Linked DNA regions of Saccharomyces cerevisiae S288C. Changing the gene in region 4 together with the main gene of any one other region gives a genetic interaction. Each region holds a gene or a part of one and is shown on either strand. Other genes may lie near its edges.

Evidence for each region.
Region 1: mutations in YOR365C (region 4) and GPX1 together harm fitness more than expected from each alone (negative genetic interaction), as found in Saccharomyces cerevisiae (one large-scale study listed by BioGRID).
Region 2: mutations in YOR365C (region 4) and SLI1 together harm fitness more than expected from each alone (negative genetic interaction), as found in Saccharomyces cerevisiae (one large-scale study listed by BioGRID).
Region 3: mutations in YOR365C (region 4) and ARO5 together harm fitness more than expected from each alone (negative genetic interaction), as found in Saccharomyces cerevisiae (one large-scale study listed by BioGRID).

The regions. Positions count from the first base shown.
Region 1 is NC_001143.9:388,880-393,864, reverse strand, and holds GPX1 (glutathione peroxidase GPX1), read left to right. Parts: upstream 1-3,981; coding exon 3,982-4,485; downstream 4,486-4,985. Other genes in the region: SKA1 (Ska1p), read right to left, coding at 1-144; MIN9 (Min9p), read left to right, coding at 492-719; URA6 (bifunctional uridylate/adenylate kinase), read left to right, coding at 725-1,339; PAN-complex poly(A)-binding subunit PAN3, read left to right, coding at 1,586-3,625; TCD2 (tRNA threonylcarbamoyladenosine dehydratase), read right to left, coding at 4,960-4,985. UniProt on the Saccharomyces cerevisiae protein: Glutathione peroxidase-like protein that protects cells from phospholipid hydroperoxides and nonphospholipid peroxides during oxidative stress. Has peroxidase activity using thioredoxin or glutathione as a reducing power. Involved in peroxisome formation.
Region 2 is NC_001139.9:913,920-919,953, forward strand, and holds SLI1 (N-acetyltransferase), read left to right. Parts: upstream 1-3,120; coding exon 3,121-4,527; downstream 4,528-6,034. Other genes in the region: YGR210C (uncharacterized protein), read right to left, coding at 1-819; zinc finger-containing protein ZPR1, read left to right, coding at 1,322-2,782; RTA1 (Rta1p), read right to left, coding at 4,593-5,546. UniProt on the Saccharomyces cerevisiae protein: Confers resistance to the sphingolipid biosynthesis inhibitor drug myriocin (ISP-1). Inactivates ISP-1 by converting it into N-acetyl-myriocin. Cooperates with YPK1 in mediating resistance to myriocin.
Region 3 is NC_001139.9:284,704-289,809, forward strand, and holds ARO5 (Aro5p), read left to right. Parts: upstream 1-3,808; coding exon 3,809-4,606; downstream 4,607-5,106. Other genes in the region: protein kinase COQ8, read left to right, coding at 1-1,244; YGL118C (uncharacterized protein), read right to left, coding at 3,311-3,748; ubiquitin-protein transferase activating protein CDC20, read left to right, coding at 5,106-5,106.
Region 4 is NC_001147.6:1,021,731-1,028,127, reverse strand, and holds YOR365C (putative flavin adenine dinucleotide transporter), read left to right. Parts: upstream 1-2,555; coding exon 2,556-4,667; downstream 4,668-6,397. Other genes in the region: RAD17 (Rad17p), read right to left, coding at 80-1,285; SCP1 (Scp1p), read right to left, coding at 1,519-2,121; oleate-activated transcription factor PIP2, read left to right, coding at 4,916-6,397.

The DNA.
Region 1 (4,985 bases), on a different chromosome or scaffold from region 4:
TTGTGAAGAGCTTTCCTCATGGGCCGTACGTTCATCATTATCATTCTTTAACCAATTAGAGTAGGCCTGCTGATCCGTGACGCATCTTTTTTGGCTATCAATACTGTCATCTAGTAGAAAACCCAATAATTCTTCTTTATTCATGCTTGCACGTTATACCTGGCCGGGATTGGGGCGCTATTCTTGCATTGTATACAATATCCTCATATAATGAACTCTTAATTAATGCGTCATCATCCCAACTTAACACCCCTCATATACCCTAAGTTAGTACTCTCAGACCTATAGAAATAAATGTATCAATATCATGACACCTAACTGATTATATTTTCAACCCTAGGTTTATTTTTTTCACTTTTCTTTTTCTTTTCTTTTTCACCACGTTAACGAAACTTTTAAGTAGTTATGGTGATCTTTTAAAGCGATGCATTCCTGTCTTTGCCTTTAGTCGCACACACCCTCTCCCGTTTTTATGTTAGCTTAGTTATATTATGAATCCACGCTACAGGTTTATACTGAGATTTTATTCTTCGAAAAAACCAACTTTCCACAATACAGCACCTTCGAAGACCAACGTAAACGTACCACGCGCTAACAAAAGTCAAAGCAAGGGTAAACACAAAGGCAAATTGTTGGTACTCGTAGGAACTTTAGCACTCGTGACATCAGTTATTTCGGTAAACTATCAAAAGAACGAACCAGTTGAATTTCTTGAATAAGACAAATGACAGCTGCCACTACATCACAGCCAGCTTTCTCGCCTGACCAAGTTTCCGTGATCTTCGTTCTAGGAGGACCCGGTGCAGGCAAGGGTACTCAGTGTGAAAAACTAGTTAAGGACTATTCATTTGTCCATTTGTCAGCCGGAGACCTTCTACGTGCTGAGCAGGGCAGAGCAGGTTCCCAATATGGGGAATTGATCAAGAACTGCATCAAAGAGGGCCAGATTGTCCCTCAAGAGATTACTTTGGCGCTTTTACGCAACGCTATTTCCGATAACGTCAAGGCGAACAAGCATAAGTTCTTAATTGACGGATTTCCTAGGAAGATGGATCAAGCCATTTCCTTTGAAAGAGACATCGTTGAAAGCAAATTCATCCTGTTCTTTGACTGCCCTGAAGATATCATGTTAGAGAGACTATTGGAGCGTGGCAAGACCAGTGGTAGAAGCGATGACAACATTGAGTCCATTAAGAAGAGATTTAACACTTTCAAGGAGACTAGTATGCCCGTCATCGAGTACTTTGAAACCAAATCGAAAGTCGTCCGTGTTCGTTGCGACAGATCCGTCGAAGATGTGTACAAAGACGTCCAAGACGCTATCCGTGATAGCTTATAGACTAAGACGTATTTTATATAGTTTACGCTATAAGTTACGGCGATATTATATATATATGTAAGAATATATACATATATATTAAAATGATTATATGCCCTCCCCTACATATCAGACCTTTACAGGGTAACCTTAAAATAAACTGCTAAATTATTTGGTTTATGAATTAAAAGAGCAATAATAACAATGGCGGGAGCACTGTTTCGATGATAGGTAAGCCTAAAAGACTAGTCAGACGTATCTTACGCCATGGACAAAATCAATCCTGATTGGGCGAAGGATATTCCGTGCAGAAATATCACTATTTATGGCTACTGCAAAAAGGAGAAAGAAGGTTGCCCTTTCAAACACAGCGATAACACTACCGCTACTACCATAAATGACGTTCCTCCTCCAATAGATGTGGGTGAGGCTACAACTCCGACCATGACATCAGTTCCTAAGTTCAATGCTAAAGTATCCGCAAGTTTCACTCCGATGACAGTCGGTAGTGACTCCTTAACCACTGTGACGAATACCACCTCCGCTGCTACAAATGCTACTGGCAATATCGCCATGGCAGCTACCTCTGCTACTGCTTCTACAGTTAATCCGATGATTAATCCGATAGTTAATAGCTCGTTAGTGAATAACAATAACAATAATAGTAATATAAGCATATCAATACCAACTACCGCTTCGAGTTCCAATTACGACCCCTTCAATGCCCCCATTTTCACTCCGTCTTCAACCTCCTCAATTCACACTAATGCAAATGCACATTCTTTTCCATTTCCCTCCATTGCAAATTCTGGTGGCATAAATATAAACGCCACTGATGATAATAGTAACAATATGAGTATGGCTAATAATGTGCCACCTCCTATGCAACCGCCACCCATAGAGAGTAGTAATCTTAAGTACCCACGTATTTATCCGCCTCCTCACAGTCTTCTACAGTATCACCTATATGCACCTGAACAGCCATCATCATTGAAATCATTATTAAAGCCTAATGAAAGGTCTGCAGATCAGCTTTTCATTCCAAACAATATTAGAGAAGATTTAACCAAGAAAAACTTATCGATTTTGCAGGTTTTCCCCTCTTCAGGTAAAGTTATACCAAGTATTGTACAAGATTATTTTAATTTGGTTCCATTGAACTTCAATAATAACGATTTTTTAAATAAAACTACGCTCTTCAAAGTTTTTTCCAATTATGACGGTAAAGCCTACGTTTTGAAGAGGCTTCCTAACATCGATAAGTCAATGAATCCAAACAAAATATCCAAAATATATCAGATATGGTCAAAAATTAATTGTACAAATTTGATAAAGTTTAGGGACATTTTTCAAACTACTAAATTTGGTGATCTGTCTATTTGTTTGGTCTTTGACTACTACCCAAACTCGCTATCTTTGTATGATTACCACTTTGTTAATTTCCCTAAGTTTCCAATAACGAATAATTATTTATGGATATATTTAGTTCAACTCACCAATGTAATAAACTCTATCCATTCACAAAACTTGAGTATTGGCAATACATTAAACTGGAGAAAAGTTTTGATTACTGGGGACCCAGGGAGAATCAAGTTATCACACTGCAATTTTATGGACCTTTTGTTCAATGATGATACTGATACCGTAGTATCTTCCGGCGGAAGTACCATAGAGGGACAACAACAGCTAGACTACAAATATTTAGGAGAGCTATTATTTAACCTATCCATTAATATTGAAAACTCTAATAACAACACTGCCCCTAAAGAATATCGATTGGAGGAAATAACCCCTCAATCAATTGATGACATGAGACAGATCGATGATAAGTTCAAGGATGTACTCAAGTATCTGATATCAGACAACGGCGATTCCAAAAAGAGCATTCATGATCTTACTAGTCACTTTTATGATAAGATGTTCATGGTCCTGGAATCGTCACAAACCTATACAGAATACATGGAGTCTGTCTTATCAAGAGAACTAGAAAATGGCAGATTATTTAGGCTGGTCAACAAGCTAAATTGCATTTTTGGTAGAATCGAATCAAGAATAGACATAAATTGGTCCGAATCTGGGACTAAATTCCCCATTATACTATTTTATGACTACGTATTCCATCAAGTGGATTCGAATGGGAAACCAATAATGGATTTAACTCATGTCCTAAGATGTTTGAACAAATTAGACGCTGGTATTCAAGAAAAGTTAATGTTGGTAACGCCCGATGAGTTAAACTGTATTATTATATCCTATAAGGAGTTGAAGGACTTGATAGAATCCACCTTTCGATCCATCACCCAATAAAACAACACCAAATAATGTAGATACACACATATATATTAATTATACATTAGTATCCCCTTGACATACCCCACTACCGTCTTCATGTGGAAAATTTTCCGTATTTGCTTTCCCCTTCTGTTCCCTAATTCTATAGGGTAAGCGATTCATCCCTTGTTCGCCACATCTAAGAGAACTTAAAGCCGGGGCTCACCTCTACTACAGAGATTGCTTATGGTGAACAATATTAAGTGATTATATAACACAGTAATGTACAAATATATTTTAGTCATGTAGGTGATATTGTGCACGGCGAGGTTCTCTGATTGTGAACCCGTATAAGGAATATAAGCGGAGAAACACAATATTTATAAGTAACGATGCAAGAATTTTATTCTTTTTCACCAATAGATGAAAACGGAAATCCATTCCCCTTCAACTCCCTGCGTAACAAAGTGGTTTTGATAGTCAATGTAGCATCTCATTGTGCGTTCACACCTCAATACAAGGAATTAGAGTACTTGTACGAAAAATACAAATCACATGGTCTAGTGATTGTGGCCTTTCCCTGTGGTCAATTCGGAAATCAAGAGTTCGAGAAGGATAAAGAGATTAATAAGTTCTGTCAAGATAAATATGGTGTAACCTTCCCTATTCTACATAAGATCCGTTGCAACGGGCAAAAGCAAGATCCCGTCTACAAGTTCTTAAAGAATTCAGTAAGCGGGAAGTCTGGAATAAAAATGATAAAATGGAATTTTGAAAAGTTTGTGGTAGACCGAAATGGGAAGGTGGTTAAAAGGTTTTCATGCATGACTAGGCCACTAGAGCTTTGTCCAATAATCGAAGAATTACTGAATCAACCACCAGAAGAACAGATTTAATTTGCGGTCAACGAAGTTGAAAACGGAAAAGTGGTGATAAGAATGAAAATAAAAGACATATAATTGAATAGTCTCTGTCACCCTTGCTATCGTATCAACAGTTGCTCTTCTATCTTGTTTTGCGTATGTATTTTTTCTAAGAAGAATATGTAGGTTTTAGTCATTTTTTGTTGATTAAGGGAATGAAAATTGTCCTAAAGAACCCTTTCAGTGGTTCAGCTTTGAGAAGTTTCAATATTGATTTCCGTCGCATGCCTCATCGTTAATTTTTCTCTAGTTTTTATTTATTTCAGAAATTCAAGTTTTTTACTTTCAAGAAATTAAATAATGTAATTTTACAAATAAACATAAACAAGTAGAAGTAAATGAAGAAGCATAAAAATAGTTTTCTATATGGTATGAGTCCGAAAAGCCTCCTGGAATAGTACGTAACTCTATGGAAGAAAATGCTTTATATGTTGGAAAGGAACAAGATCATCTGAATTGAGAGTAATAAGCTT
Region 2 (6,034 bases), on a different chromosome or scaffold from region 4:
GTATAATATAAAACCTTGCTTTTTCAATTTCCTCAAAAAAACTTCCGTCACTGCACTGGTCAGTACAGCTTTGGTGTCAGGATACTTTAGCATGATTTTAGAAACATTTTTATCGGCGTCAGGGTGGTCAATCTTGTTGAGTGCCAACACAGTTGGAAATTTCTCCATCATAAAGGACTTGACCACTCGAGTGATCCATTCGTCATCCCATTTTTCCAAAGGTGGTAGTCCCTTCAACCTGTCCAGGGCTTTTTGGATCATGGGCGCATGTGAACCGTACCCACCGAATTGCGCTTGAAGTGTGTCCACTATGCTAGATTTCGTTGCTGTATGTTTACGCACAATAGACCCCCATCTTTTCTTCAGGTTCCCCTCAACCCAAAGCCTGATTTCGTCTTGCAGCCATTCTATATCGTTCAATGGATCATATCCTCTTGTGTTCTTCCCCTCTGCATCTGTGGTTCCACTAACGTCCACCACATGAATAAGAGCATCTGCGTGTCTTAAATCATCCAAGAATTTATTTCCAAGCCCTCTGCCGGAATGCGCTCCAGGCACAAGCCCTGCCACATCCAACAGTTTGATGGGGATATGCCTCTTACCCTTGCTACACCACCCGTAGTTAGGTTTACAAAGATCTTCCTTGCCAAATCTGGAGCAAGCACACTCAACTTGCAAGTAGCCGGTTGCCTGATTTGGCTCGATCGTGGTAAAGGGAAATGCTCCTACCGCCGCACCTGCGTCCGTCAAAGAATTTAATGTGGTGGATTTCCCTGAAGATGGCTTACCCACAATACCAATCAATGGATCCCTGGGCATACTGGCTCTATTTCCGTTTTATTCTTACAGACAGCTTATACTACAAGTTAGTTGGACAAAAGCTAAAAGACGGAAAACGAAAACGCAAAATGAAAATAAAACCAACTCTCATTACAATTCATCCTAGAACACTTACACATCTGTTTTGCACTGCATAGCATTACATTTCTTGCATATCTATCTATTCGAGAAAAAAAAAAAAAGGCATCGAGTGAATTTTTCACCTTGATAAAAAAGCCCTTACTAACCCTACAATAAATTGTGCCGAAACCCTCTGGAGTTTTCTAGAATATTCTAGCCCCATCAGGGCTAGAATATCCTAAAAGTTTATAGTTGACGAAAATTTTTCAGCGATGAGATGCACATTTATAATGCTATGATGTTCAACGCAAAGGAAATCATAGCGTTATCGGGTAGGTTCGCATCGTTAGCAATAGCTAGTCGCATATATACACAGAGATACATATTATACCTATACCGTTAAGAAATAGGATAGAAAATAATGAGCGAACAAAAGGAAGATTTGTTTAAACCAGTAGGAGAAGCTGCTGCAGAGGTCGAAGATGAAAGCATAGCCGAACAGAACAAAGCTAATGACGGCGTCAAGTTAACCGGCGCACAGGACGCCATGGGCCATCCAGTGCAAGAGATAGAGTCTCTTTGTATGAATTGTGGAAAGAACGGTACAACCAGACTTCTTCTGACTTCCATCCCTTATTTCAGAGAAATAATTATTATGTCATTCGACTGTCCTCACTGTGGGTTTAAGAACTGTGAGATCCAACCCGCTTCTCAAATTCAAGAGAAGGGCTCTCGTTACGTTTTGAAAGTGGAGTGCCGTGAAGATTTTAACAGGCAAGTTATTAAGTCAGAAACTGCCACTTGTAAGTTTGTCGAGCTAGACATTGAGATTCCTGCTAAGAGAGGTCAATTGACGACAGTTGAAGGTTTGTTATCCGAGATGATCGACGATCTGTCGCAAGACCAGGAAATGAGAAAATCTATAGACGAAGCTCTTTACAAGAAGATCGATGACTTCATACAGAAAGTTAAATCCTACATCAATTGTGAACCCAACACTATTCCGATTACATTTATTTTGGATGATCCTGCGGGAAATTCCTGGATCGAATACAAACCCGGTGAACCTCAACACAAATGGTCTCATACCCAGTACGTGAGAACCGACGAACAAAACGTTCAAGTTGGCATTATTACTAGAGACCAGTTGGAGCAACGTCGCCAAGAACAATTAAAACAATTGGCCAACCGTGAAAGAAATCCTTCTGAATCTGTCAAAGTTGGCTCAGCAAACCCACAGTTTTTGTCAGACGCCACCGACATCGAAAACTTTAACAACGAGGTGCAAACATTCAGAGCTTCTTGTCCATCGTGTACCCAAGAGTGTGAAACTCATATGAAGCCAGTAAATATCCCACACTTTAAAGAAGTCATTATCATGTCGACGGTCTGCGATCATTGTGGTTATAAGTCTAATGAGGTGAAGACCGGTGGTGCCATCCCTGACAAAGGAAGAAGGATTACTTTATACTGTGACGATGCAGCTGACTTGTCCCGTGATATTTTGAAATCTGAGACCTGTAGTATGGTAATTCCTGAATTACATCTTGATATTCAAGAAGGTACATTGGGTGGTAGATTCACCACTTTGGAAGGTTTACTAAGACAAGTCTACGAAGAACTAGAATCCCGTATTTTCACTCAAACTTCGGATTCCATGGACGAAGCAACGAAAGCCCGCTGGGTAGAATTTTTTGCCAAGCTAAAGGAGGCCATCGCTGGGAAAGTCAAGTTCACAGTCATTATGGAAGATCCATTGGCCGGGTCGTACATACAAAATGTCTACGCCCCAGATCCGGATCCAAACATGACTATCGAAGATTATGAAAGAACTAAAGAGCAAAATGAAGACCTGGGATTGTCCGATATCAAGGTTGAGTAACGATCGTTGGCCTCGGTATCACCTCCCCCTTTCCTCTTCCTCTTTACATATATCCTAACCACACAAGCACTCATTTGATATGATAATACTTATTCGTTTTTATTCAAATAGATAGCGCAGTCTTGAAGATTTACCTATATTTTTAAACTTTTGTATAATAGTTGAAATAGATAATACAGCATTTTTTGGCTCCTGCTTCATATCTTTTTTTTTAGGTTTTTGCTTTATATTCTTTCTTTTAACTCAACTTGTGCGGAGCAGAGGTAAAGAGGACAACTATAAATGCTGTCAAAACGAACAATCTACAGATATTTTTACGAAAAGGAAAAAGCGCAAGAATGAATCTTAAACTTTCTGCTATTGAAAGTTACTTTTTCCATAGAAGCAGACTAAATTTGCATTCATGTTTTTATGTCGGAATCAAACTCAACGAATTGCCCAAAAAAAGTCAACTGATAGCGGCTCTTAAGTATACTGTAATCCAACATGAACGTTTGACTTGTAATGTATTCTATGATGAATTGAAAAAGGAAAACTTCCTACAAAACATTCTTGAGCCACTGAAATTTTGCGATCTAGTAGAATACCGCCACGATTGGGACCAGTTAGGGGAAACCGAAATTAACCACATCTTTCAAAGGTATAACTTTTCATACAACGAGAATAAACCTTTATGGAAAATTCTGATCCTCCCTAATCAAAATCAAATGCTATTGCTGACAGATCATGTTCTCATGGATGGGATGTCCGCTATTCATGTGTGGGAAACGTTTATGGAAGGCCTACAGATGCAACAGCCGGTTGAAATTGATGAAACAATATATTCACCATCATTAAATTCATCAACTGAAAAAATAATGTCAGCCCCACTATACGGAGATTGGCCCATACCTTGGAATTGGCATATAGTGCGACAATTGGTCAGTAGACTACATTATTGGTTTCCACAAACAGTCGTAAAAAACAATAGAAATTTAATCCAATTTGCCAACTACTCATTTCCAAAAGACCTGCTGGATGATAAACCGAGCGATGGAACTCAAAAATACAAAGTTAAAAACACGAACCATCAATGGGAGTTTCGATTATCGCCGACCCATCTCAACGACATTTTACAAGAATGCAAGGCCAATAATACTTCGTTGACTTCCCTTTTAGGTGCCCTGGTCTGCACCAGTTTCGAAAAAATAGCTGCACATGAGTATACCGGATCATTTTTGAAAATTGAATTACCAATGAATATTAGAAAGCCTTTTGAACGAGTCTTGAAATTACCTTCAGATGATAAGCTCGCCGTGGGAAATTTTATTGCGGTCATAGAATTCAACCATAAACTACATCAAAACCGTGGAATATGGGATATCGCTTCTCAAATTCAAAGGGCCATAAGAAGCAGTTCCGAGGATAAAATAATAGATAAAGTAAACGAAGTAAAGTTATTGGAGGTTATTTCTTCTCAACAATACATAGAAGATAAAATTAGCTTGAATAACGGACCTTCTTCCACATTTGAAGTAACAAACTTAGGATTTCAAACATTTAAAGATGCATGCAACACCAGTTTACCGTTTTATATAGTGGATGCTACATTCAACGAGCCGCAAGGAATATCTTCAATTTTCTCACTAAGCGTAATCTCTACTCCTGGTAACGGACTACATTGTTGTATCAGTTATCCAAATACTCTCACTAAAGTGCTAGAACCCCACTGGCAATATATGAAAGATTACTTAAATTTATACTAGCAGCACTTCACTAGCTCAAATACAGAATAAAACCACATTTCCCACATGTAAATATAGAAAGCAGTTTATTCGCTCTTTGAAGCGAGATCTTCTTCGATAGACGTCACCTCAACGTCAGGATAGTCGGTGCCGTCAAATCTTGCTGATTGTTGCGCTTGAATAGACTCTTCATGTATTCTAAAAATGTTAATTAGTGGGAACGCCACAATAAAAATTAATACGAGTAAAAACATTGGTAAACCATCAAAAATATAAAGATACCACTCGTGCGAGGCAATTTCTCCGTCATAACCCTGAATAAATTCAACAGCTCTGACGATCGACCTAATTAAAATCAGGAAACTGTTCACCAATAAAGCAATGTTTAGGTATTTCCAACTACCATACCTTACCGATACATTGGTTGGTTTTTTGCTCATCTTGAAAATGAACAAAACCTCATTTATAATGAAGAGACCAAAAAAAGCAATTTGAATGAACAAACCAGCTGTAACGAGATGAGAACCAGAAGATGCACTTGTCACTTTAGACATCATAGCACCACCAATTGCTTGTAATAGAAGACTGCCTACATCGCCAATCACAAATATTGTAGTATTGAATCTAGCGGGCATGATCATTAAGTTTTCTGCGAACAGCAGAGTAGCCATTCTACCAAAAATCATGTAAATACTGGCAGCATATAATGTTGGAGACACCAGCAAGAAAACCGTTTGAATAATATAGGGGTTTAGTAGTGTGGTGTCTTTGCTTGATTTACATCTAAACGCAAAGCCCACACACTCAACAAAACACCCAAATATAAAGGGAATGTACGCTCCTGCTAAGTTTACCGTACCGTAATACCGCAATACGGGTTGGGACTTCATAAGAGAGCCAACTCTCCTTTTACTTTTCACAGAATAATGGAATAGTAAAATTACAAATGCTACCCCTGATACTGCAAAAAGTACCGTAAAAAGTATACTCGCACCTAATTCCGGAGTGTATCTATATAACTCGAAGCCGTCTTTTGCCATGTTCGAAGTGGTGAAAAGTGCTGACTGTCTATTACATACTTTTACAGGGTTTATTATTATAGAATGAAACAGGCAAGGTATCTTATCCCTTTATTATGAAAACTATATATACGCATAAGTCTTTTGCTGCATGATAAGCCCCTTCCCAAGAATATGACAACCTCTTATTGTTCTTTTCACCAAAGATCCACGGAACTCATCTTTAGCAAGTGAGGCTTGAAATATCACAGATATCATTGTGAATACCGCATTGAGCAGATTGTTGACAGCGGGCATCTTACTAACAGGCGCAATCTAAAGAAGCCGCGAAAAAAAAAAGAACACGCTAAACGATTCACCCATGCCAGCCAAGTGTAGATTTGTTTGTAGAGGAAAACAGTTGATGAGCAATTTACAGTGTTTTTTTATCTTAGTAATATTCATCAAAATTCATAGGAAATAGTCAATGATGCATGTCTGAAAACAAAACGACCTATATACCTTATTGT
Region 3 (5,106 bases), on a different chromosome or scaffold from region 4:
TGGGCATGAATGCCGCAGCAAAAGGCATATCGGAAGTTGCAAAGGGCAATTCTCCCACTTGGAAATCTTTGATTCTATCAGATTCGAATATTGACAGAATTACCAATAAATTTTCTAAAATGAGAGGTGTTGCCCTTAAAATAGGGCAACTATTGTCTTTTCAGGATGAGAAAGTGTTGCCAAAGGAATTATACGAAATTTTATCAAGGGTACAGAATAGTGCAAATCATATGCCTCAAAGGCAATTGGAAAAGGTTATGGCCAAGGAATTAGGTGCTAATTGGAAGACAAAGTTTTCCAAATTTGACAAGATACCTATGGCAGCTGCTAGTATCGGACAGGTACATGCGGCAGAGTTGCCCAGTGGTCAAAGAGTGGTTGTCAAAATTCAATATCCTGGGGTTAAAGAATCCATTGATTCGGATTTGAATAGTTTACTAATGTTACTTACAGCCTCAAGTTTATTACCGAAGGGATTATTTTTGGATAAGACAATTGCCAACGCTAGAACTGAGTTAAAATGGGAATGTGATTACAACAGAGAGGCTAGAGCTCTACAAAAGTTTGAGGCGTTGCTAAAGGATGACCCAGCGTTTGAGGTTCCTCATGTGTTTCCTGAATATACAACCGATAATATTATAACTATGACACGTATGGAGGGAACTGAAATAATGAAATTGCCCAAGGCATCACAAGAAACCAAAAATTTTATTTCGGAGAATATCATGAGACTATGTCTGGAAGAAATTGCCACTTTCAAGTATATGCAAACGGATCCTAATTGGGCAAATTTCCTCTATAACGGTAGGACAAAGAAAATTGAATTATTGGATTTCGGTGCCTCCAGACCTTTTGCAGAAGATTTTATTCTAAAATATAGAAAACTTTTAACTTACGCCACATTGAGAGATAGGAAAGGGGCGTACGAAATGTCTGTACAACTGGGCTATCTCACAGGCTTAGAATCGCAGTCCATGAAAGACGCGCACGTCGATAGTGTACTTACACTTGGTGAACCTTTTAGGGGTGATGTAGATAAATCTTTCGATTTCAAGGATCAAACAGTCTCAGACAGGATTAGAGGTAATATCGGGTTAATGTTGAATGAAAGACTATGTCCGCCACCAGAGGAAACATACTCGTTACATAGAAAATTTAGTGGCATTTTTCTTTTGTGTGCAAGAATGGGTGCGTCTGTTCATTGTGCAAAGCTTTTTAAAGAGATTTTTGCCTATAAAGTTTAAAATACTTCCCCGCTATTTGTATATATGCATATCTTTATATTATGAAAGATATTTTTTTATTTACTTTTAGTCCGTATACTTTTATTTTGTTTTGTTAGACAATCTCGAAGAACAAAAAAAAAAGATAAAACAGAAAGATAAATGTGCACTCTTTTGTACCTCGTTCTGCTATAGTACTTCCAACCAGATCGACTGAAAGATTACTAGTATATACGTCATGTTTTTAAATAGTAGTTCCCATTCTGCTTCAGTGAATTAGATATTTTTTTCCAATCATTCTCTTTAAACCCTCTGCGATAGTGATCCAACATTTTCTTAGCAACGCTAATCCTTCTGCCAATAGCTTCTCAAAATATACACCATTAACTTTACAACATTACATAATATGACATTCCACAGAACCTCTCTATTCCATTTTACCCCATTTCAAATTACTTTTTAGTCTTTGAATTGGGTCGCTTCCTAATTATAGAATTATTTTTCTCTGTAAAGTCCCAGCCTTGTTACAATACAATTGTACATCATTCATGAGAGATGAATATAATCTGCATTTCTTGTTCTAAATTGAATATGTATCTTTGAAAATACTCTGTATGCAGGCAACTTCTTTACCAATATTTACTTTATGAAACACGCCAGCTTTAAGACAATACCTTCGGGTCAGAAATATAGTTTAGTTTGTTAACTACAGCAGTTTCTTACAGAAAATTTTGAACTTCGACATTAGTGCATTTATCTCAGGATATAATGATCCCGTTATCCAATCGATATAGCTTCCTCAGGTTTCCATTCAGTCATAAATGTTAAATTAACGTTGTGCCTAGGGGGCAGATAAGCCTATGACATTGTTTCGTGCTCATCAAAACACTAATGTAATGGATGGCAACTGTTGCACCTATTCAGGCTGCAAAAAAAGAAGTATCATTTAAATCAAAAGGAATATGAACTGATATAAAAAGAACATATTCATACGGGCGAATTTGGCTAGTAACCATTACGAGATAGGATAGAATATACGTATGAGATTAGAATAATTAACATAAAATATGATAATATCGCTTTGCATTGCAATTAGCATACGTAACCTCACACAAATTTTATACTAATTGTCTAGGCATTTCATACAAGAATAACATTAGCGATCATTAGATCAGCTAAAGTTCTACATAAATGCTGCTGAACATAATAACATAGGTCCGCTTAGCAATATCAAGACATTATTACCGCTGTCAACATTTCTTGTCCGTCAGTGGACTTACAAGAATTGAACCGAAAAAAAAAAGAATAGAAAAGGTACAATAAAAAGCAATCGGTAAACGCGACAGCAGAGACGCCCCTGCACATTTAGTACACCGTTTCCTTCATTTAACCATCCTTAAATTATCACTTGCAGTATAAAAAATGAAACGGACAGGAATTGAACCTGCAACCCTTCGATTGCAATCTTATTCCGTGGAATTTCCAAGATTTAATTGGAGTCGAAAGCTCTACCATTGAGCCACCGCTTCATCTTGAAATATCCAAGAATTAAATTCTTACTTGTCTCCCCGAAAGCTGTATCTTTAAAACGGCTCCTAGTTATCGTCAGTTTTGATAATTAGTAACTAGAATATAGTATCACCAAGAACAGGCCAGGTAATATACTAGAAGTTGTGTATAACTACTAATATTTTTATACATATAGATGCCAAGTCAAGGTCCAATTAGTAGATTTTTCACTCTACCTTGCATTATTACCTGAAAGATCGTTTGTGTTTCCTTAAATTCGCCAGAGGTGCAAACGAATGTAAATATCTACATCAATTTACGGTTTCACGCCCGTTTCGTTTCTAATGGCAACTCATGTAAACTGTGATAAACCCGTTATTTCAGTTTTATTTTCTGCTAGTATAAAGGATGATAGTAGCCATTTCGCTGGAATATGTATCGGGTTTAAAAGATGGCATAGTTCGAAACATTTTCGCACAAGATTCTAACTGTCTTCGAACGTCGTAGAAACCGCAACGCAAGAAATGACAGCGCAATAAAATTTATTTTACTAACTGATAGAACAAATGTAAAAAATTTCATAATATCAAGTAGAATTCTTTATTCTCTTTGTGAATTCCTAAACCCATGAAAGGGACTTGTAGTATAAGCTGGATACCTATTTTCATTGGCTTCGTTTCCAAATGACACAAAACCATCACAAAAGGAAATAGTCCTTCCATAGTTACCCAATCATTCTGTTGCATATTAAATGAACAGCTCCTTGTTGATAATGCCAGTGTGGCATATTCACCGCTGCAGTTATTTCTTTTCATATATAATGAGTCATTTGTTTCTGTCATCACTTTTCTATACTTTCTCTTCCCCGCGTGTTTTCCGTACACCAACAATATATGCCATAATACACGTAACATTTTTTTATAAAAAGAAAAGGTAAGTGATATATATAAAATAGCGCCATGAGTAGGAAACTTTTCTGTTACTGCAGATATGTGCCAGACTGGCTCAGGTGGCATAAACACAGATTAATAGTATTGGCGTTGCTGAAATAAGAAGATCTGTAACAATATCTTACAATGCAGCCAATTTCAATAAAAGATGTGGAAAGCGATCAAGGGAAAGTTTACATTGTTAATGCCTTAAAAGATCTCGTATGCAAGTGCCTTTTAGAATTCGTGGACATTCAAATTGAAAGTTTTATGTATCCGGACGATCCAAAGTGTTTTACAAGGATATTTAAAGGGAACAAGATAGTCAACGAAGCATCAGATAAAGATTCGAAAGTGAGAAGTTACCCATCTTCATTGGGTGTTGGACACTCTGCTTTGTTTCCTTTGATATACATAAGACAAAAAACCAACTCCTTGCGGTTTTTGAATGATCCAAAGCAATTACCAACACCACTGGTCGATGATATGAACGCAAAATTCAAAGGCATCATTAAAGTTTATGAAAATCTCATTCACTTGTACCATTCATATCAGACGGTGGATTGCAATAACATGAATCAGCAAAAGCTTTTGGGTGATCTGGTCAGTCGGGGTAATTTCATGCTTGATATCCTCCACGGGTATGTTACTATTGCATCAACAATAGTACGGGACAGTAAGGATGCCAATATCTTGATAGACACTGTTAATCGGTTCATCCACGATACCATATTATTCCACAAGCGCATAATACATAATTCCAACGCTTACACAGAGTACCATGTAATGAAACGTGGCATGCAAAGAAACCAGAGTGAGGAAACGTTAGTTGAACTTGAATTCCGAATACTGGATGTTTCTGATGTTAATCTGGACAATGAATTTGATGACTTTTTACAGCATAGAAAAACGTCTCTTAAAATAACTCATAGAAGGGTTATATGATAATTTGACATTCATAATATTGGTAAAAAGTACCCTACATACTACATATTTCTAGAATATCCACAAAGAATGTGTCGTTCTTTTTCTGCGGTTCTTTGTTAGCTTTCCTTCACTTCCTTTATGTCCTCTTTCATGAAAGTGAAAAATGTGAAGTGCATGCGATTTTTGCGTTAGCAATTTGATTGCCGAAAGAGGCAAAACGTAAATAGGGTTGGTTTCAAATAATTAGAAGGAGCATCGGAAAAATGCAACGAGCAAAACCTCTAGCAGGCAAAGAATTTATCACCTTTAAAATAGACTGGAATTTGTCATATTAGTTCCTAATTCAGCCAATTAATAGTTTAAATCAGACTAAACCAGAGATCAGTCATCAAGCTTAGGACTAATCTGCTTTGCGACTTTGATTTTTGTGTCCAATTGGAAAGAAACCCAAAAATATAGAAATCGTCCATTCATTTAGTGCAGAAATATCAAAAGACAAGTATTACAAAGAAGACTAA
Region 4 (6,397 bases):
ATTTAATTGTAAGTTATATGTTATAAAATTACCAAATGCTGAATGAAGTTCTGCGTTTTCTGCGATGCTGGATATTGACTTAAAAAAATATAGGAATATCCTTTGTTGGATACTTGCAGTGATTCTCTTCATCCTCACTTTCCCTGTTTTTATTGTTTTCTTCTTCAGATGGTAGTTTAATTTTTTTCCCATTCAATTGCAGCAAGTTGTCATTTGAAGTTTCATTGCCTTTATCTGTACCATATCTTTTTCTTATAGTTGATTTTTTAAAACTATTACGATTGCCAAGTTCATTAGTCTCCATCAGGAGTTCTATTTCTGTCTGTGCTGCCTCATCTATGGATTCTTTTTCTAGCATGCAAACCTCAATTACTATACCGGGATAATCCTTGGGTAGCTGCAGTTGGCGAATACTACCTGGTCGATTATTTGAAGGTCTTGTAGTATCAGTGATAATGACATCGTCTGTTTGACTTAGAATATTTACACTCAATACGCCATGAACATCCATCCTGAAAAGGACTTTGCTTGCAATTTTAGTACTCTTTCTGATTTTATCAAACGAGGTGAAATCGAAGAACCCAATTACAGCAAAACCATCTATTACTGTTGTGGAATCTCCGTCAAATACTTGTAACTTCTCTAGTATGGATCTGTTACTGGGTAATTTTATTTTAGAAAATCCTAGCTGAGATTTAGATATCAGGGCAAATACATTCTCATCATTCGCCTCGGTCTTTGCATATACATAGCACTCTTTGCATCCGATTTCTTTTAGATCCTTTAAGGCTGAATGAAGGGCTTCGCCCTTAATAATTGCCTCAAAGCTTATCCTTTCTCTATCGAGTTCTAGTCCATTAGTATCAAAATCCTTAATTAAGTAGGTAGAGTACTCCACTCTCTCAGAAATGAACGAGTCTTCAAATATTAGTACAAATGGTGATCCATGTCCATCATAAGATAAAGTACACTCAACAATGTCATCCGAATTCCTGTTCATCACGCTAACGCTATCTAAGATATGATTTATTTTTACACAAAGTTTCATGTGATCCTCAGTTTCATTTCTATACGAATAAGACATAAATAGCTCCCGAGATAACAGTAGTTGGATTTTTATCACATGATTATTCTCCCTGACAAATGACAGCCCATCAGCATCAATGAATATAAGCACATCGTCTTTAGAACCAAAAGGTGTTAAACAACTTAAAGCAGTTGTGATATGTTCTAAGTGCACCGTTGAGGCAGAAAACTTGTTCGCTAGCTCACTGTTGATTCGCATAGTTGAAATCCTTCAACTACTTTGTTTCCACACCGTTCTGTGAGATTGATTTGTATAATCACATTTTTACCGGTAACGTTAACTTTTGTTACGCGTCTCTAGCCACCTTAGTGTTTATGTAGGAAAACTTTGATGGAAAACTAAAATATATCAAAGGAACTTTGGTTGCGTATATAGGGTTCTTAAATGTTTATTTATCAATTTCTGCCAGAGAAAGTGTTAATAATAATTCTCTAAACTATATCTCTCCGTTGTCCTAACACCACTCCTTCAGTAGCCTGAGATGCACCTTTCATATAACCGTATTCAAAAGTGCTCCATCCAGTACCATCTTGTAGATGTTTTGGTTTAGACTTAACCGGGGGTCTTGGCTTCTTTGTTGACAGTTGTGGTCCTAGAACTGGAAATCTATCTGTATGTTTTTTGTTGGCGTAACGAGATAGTGACTTCAACGTTTGGAAAACAATGGCAGGATCCTTTTTCTCAAAAAGATCAATTGTCTGAAACAGTTCATCTTCAGGCACACCATATTTTCTCGAAAATGATAAAAATTGGGAAATTTGATCCATTTGAACAAATGGCATTTTAGAGCTCTTCCAACTAATATGGTTAGCTTCTCCTGTGTCTGCTTCATATAAAATATTTGCCAGCTTACATAGGACTGTTCCATCTTTCAAGCATTCCAATAAGTCTCCAGGAGGAGCTATCTCTTTTAGGACAGATTTATATACCCATATTTTGATATTTTGAATTGCTTCCGGTGAAAATTTGCTTTCTCTTAGTTGTCTCAAATCTTCATCTAAGGATGTGACATCTGCCTTCTTATCGTAACTCATCGGTAAACTTTAGCTGTACGCTTACAAAGAAGTCATTTACTTAGACACTACTTATATCTTAGCTTTACTATTTGCGTTTATACTCCTTTTGGAACTCCACGGATGTCCAATTACACGTGATGAATGGGTGTTCAGCATATGTTACAACTATAATGCATGACATGATGAATATGTAGTGGTAATCCATGCTGTATTTTGTTATTACTGTAGCATGGTATTGATGCATTTTTAATTTTTATAATGCTGCTATGGAGCGATCCATATCGACGACAGCTTTAGTTCATGGCGGTCCATTTATATTTTTGTGCCCGAATTACTGACACATTTAAAAAATGATGCAGTGTCAATATTTTGGAAGGATGATGAAGCAAAGTCGTAATGCTATTTTAAATAATATTTAACCTCTCTGATTTATAGATGTAAAGAGAATAAGTATGCTTCCCATTAAAGTCTTCTCTTTATCTCGGATTTTTGTTTTGCTAGCAATCTTCCGACAAATACACGCTATTTCCATTAACAGCTCTACTTTCCAGGTTTCTAACTCTTTTACACTACTGAACAACGCATCGACTCTATTCCCAGTACCATTTGATGCATATACTAAAGAATATCTAAGGACTTCGGCTCTGTTGACTTGTGCTAAAGACTCACAGTTTTCTGCATCGTATTTCGAAGCTGCTTTTTTCCCGAGAAATAATACTCTATTCTTTAATGTTGAAGCACAAACAATTATGAGCGAAAACATAACCATCAAGGCAGAATTGATTGCATATGGTCTCAATGTTTATACCAAAGTTTTTGATCTATGTGGAATCCAAGATAATTTATTATGTCCGTTGAAGCCGGGAAATATAGAACTCATGGGAAGTTATTATGTTGAGGCCGCGGTAGCTAGCCAAATACCAAGCATAACATATAATATACCTGACTTAGACGCATATATTGTGGTGACAGCATACTCCACTATTGATAAAGAATTTACCAAACCTCTAGCATGTGTACAAGTGATGTTATCAAATGGTAGAACAGTCCAAACAGAGTATTTATCGTGGAATCTAGTGATATTGACAATTTCCGGAATTATGTTTTCAGTGGTTTATTCTTTGCAAGGTTATACGGTTACTTCAACAAGACTGGCGTCTTATTCAATATCGCTACTTTTATATTTCCAAAATTTGGCTATTTTAGCTATGATTAGTGTATCATTTTTACCGCCTATTGTCGCCGCTTGGACTCAAAATTTCCAATGGTCAATGGGAATAATAAGGATAAATTTTATGCAGCGGTTATTTGACTGGTATGTTGTCGCAACATCTGGGTCCCCCACCGTTGTATACCGCAATAAAGAAGTTTTATCGATCAGTGTTCAAAAAAGATCCTTGAACAGTAAAATCATATCAGCGTCAAGTAATTTAAATGGTATTGAAAGTTCCCAAAAAAATGATTTATTATACACTTCAAATTTGAGAAATTCAAATGACTATCTGTCAAAAATTTTAGTATTAAGAGGTATTAAAAGGGTGTCTTACAAAGCTGGAATTGAGATATCAAATTTCTTTTTAACGGGATTTTCCTTCTTTATCATATTCATTTGTATGATAATATTGGCGTTTATTATCTTCAAAACATTTTTGAAAGTACTTCAGAAGTTTAAAGTTAAGACAATTAGATATTTACACTTCCACACACATTGGAGTGCACTTTTACAGGGGACACTATATCGAGCGGTGTTCATAATTTATTCTGAGATATCTCTTTTAGCACTTTGGGAGTTCACTCAAACAGACTCAGCAGCTACCTTAGTGGAGGCAATCGTTGTTTTCATTTTGATTACAGTCTTGTTATCATCCGCAAGCGTAAGAATATGGAGGAAGATGATCAAGTCTAAGAAAATATTTGGCCAGCCAAGCTATTTACTCTTCAGTAGCTCGAAATTCTTAAACAAGTTCGGCTTTCTTTCCTCTCAATTTAAGTCTACAAAAGTCTGGTGGTTAATGGCGACCTCTGCACACATGCTTATTAGGTCTATACTAGTGGGTTCTCTACAAGCGCACGGAAAATCTCAATCTATTGGTATCTTTTTGAATGAAGCTATCTATCTCATCCTTTTGTGCTGGATGCAACCTTACATGGATAAAACAACCAACTTCTTCAATATTAGTATCCATTCACTGAATTTAGTGAACGCATTTTTTTTCTTATTTTTCAGTAACTTATTTCAGCAGCCCATAGCTGTGTCTTCTTTTATGGGACTAATTTTCTTTTTTCTAAATGCAGCGTTTTCTTTGTATCTCTTCATTTTCATATTGATATGCTTTACGATGGCAATATACTACAAACACCCTGATACAAGATACAAACCTATTGATGATCAAAGACGATCCTTTTTGAAGGGTGAAATGGATGATGATGCGGTTTACGAATCGGTCCCGGAACTGCACGAAATGAAGAAAGCCGTTCTTGAATGCAACGGTATTCAAAAGCCGCAGATCAATAAGATTGACCTTTGTAAACAAAATTCGAACTGTGAATATCTGTATATGTGAATAAATAAAATCGTGACTAATACGTCCGGTAGGATTTGCCTTCCTGCAAAATTTCTTCTGATTTTGGAATTTGAAAGGTTGTAAGACCATCTCGGAACTAAATATAATCTCCGGAGTATCTCCAACGAAGAAAACATAAAGCGTTGTTAGGACTTAATAGAGGTCAGATAAAGAAAATCTACTGAAACGTATAGAGCGGATGAAATATCACTTTCTGATCTTGCTGAACAAAATTTCTTCGATAAAAGATGTACTTTACAGACGAATCATCACCGGCAATGAATAGAGTAGGTAAAAAAAGGAATAGACTTTCTTTTGTTTGCCAAGCTTGTAGAAAAGCAAAGACGAAGTGTGACCAGGAAAAACCTAGATGTGGCAGATGTACTAAACAAAACCTCTTTTGTATATATGATGTCGCCAGACAGGCGGCCCCTAGGAATCCGAATAAGGATGCCACCATAGCGAGACTGAAAAAGGAGATTCGTTACTGGAGAAATAAAACCGTGGATTTGACTCAAGAAAAGAAAGACTTCTACACTGCATTGAAAAGGCCGACTGAAGAATTAGCTGCTAGAAGGACATGTAAAAGCTTGCAGGAAAATAGCTTTCCAATAAGTCTTTATAAGACTCATCCCAGATTGATTATGACCAAAGTGATGAAAAGAGAAATCAACCCTTTATCTGAGAAGTACTTAATATTTCAAGATACCTTTCTGAAGACATTAATTGCCTCCGTGCTTCTAAGTTGTTCCAGAAACTCCATGATTCCTGCTTTAAATGCAGATATTAGTAGGTCGAGGACACAGCCATGCGTAAAGAATAACGTTGTAAAAATGAGAGAGGTTCTATTGAAAAACTCAAAATACGAATCACAAAGAAAATCCATTAACGAGTTTACGGACAGGCTACTACAGAGAAAGAACCCTGAAGAACAGATTGCGGTAAATAAAGTAATTTCTTTATTATACAGTAACAGGGAATCGTCATATTTAGAGGATACATGCCCCACCGAAAACGACTATTCTGATTTGTTGAAAGGCTACATCAATGAAATCGAGAAAACGCTCCCTCCCAAGGCAATCATTGAACAGTACCTCTCTCATTTCTTTGAGCATATTTTCCACCTAATCCCTTTCGCCAGCAAGGAAATGTTGGAGGAATCAATTCACACAACAGTACAGTATAATGAATTAGGAGAGGTACGACTATCGATGGGCACAACCCTTATACGAAATAAAATGGAGAATCTGTGTATCTTACTGTTAATTTTGAGGATCGCGTATATCTCTTTGACATTTATAGAAGATAAGATTGAAGATTACAGTCCGTATATTACCAAAGAGATGCTAGAGCAATATCCGATTCAAAGCGAAGTAATTTTCCTAGCGCAGCAGATACTTGCATCGGAAAATTGGTGTGCTTGTGCAAATGAAAATACCATTTCATGCTTACTCTATATCTGGTGTGCATTTGTTTTTTCCCCAACTGAGGGTGATTTTCTGTTAGAACAACCGTCGGATGTTATAATTAACCTTGTCATACTAATAGGGACGTCTATCGGATTACATCGTGACCCATCTGACTTTCCAGCCTTGAACCACCCCGAAGCTTCAGACAAAAGGCTGCTAAATTTACGAAGGATACAGTGGCTATCAATTATCTCTATGGCAACTCTGGAGTCAAGCCTGAAGGGTAGACTATTGGTCTCACCCCTTTCAATGATTGATCTT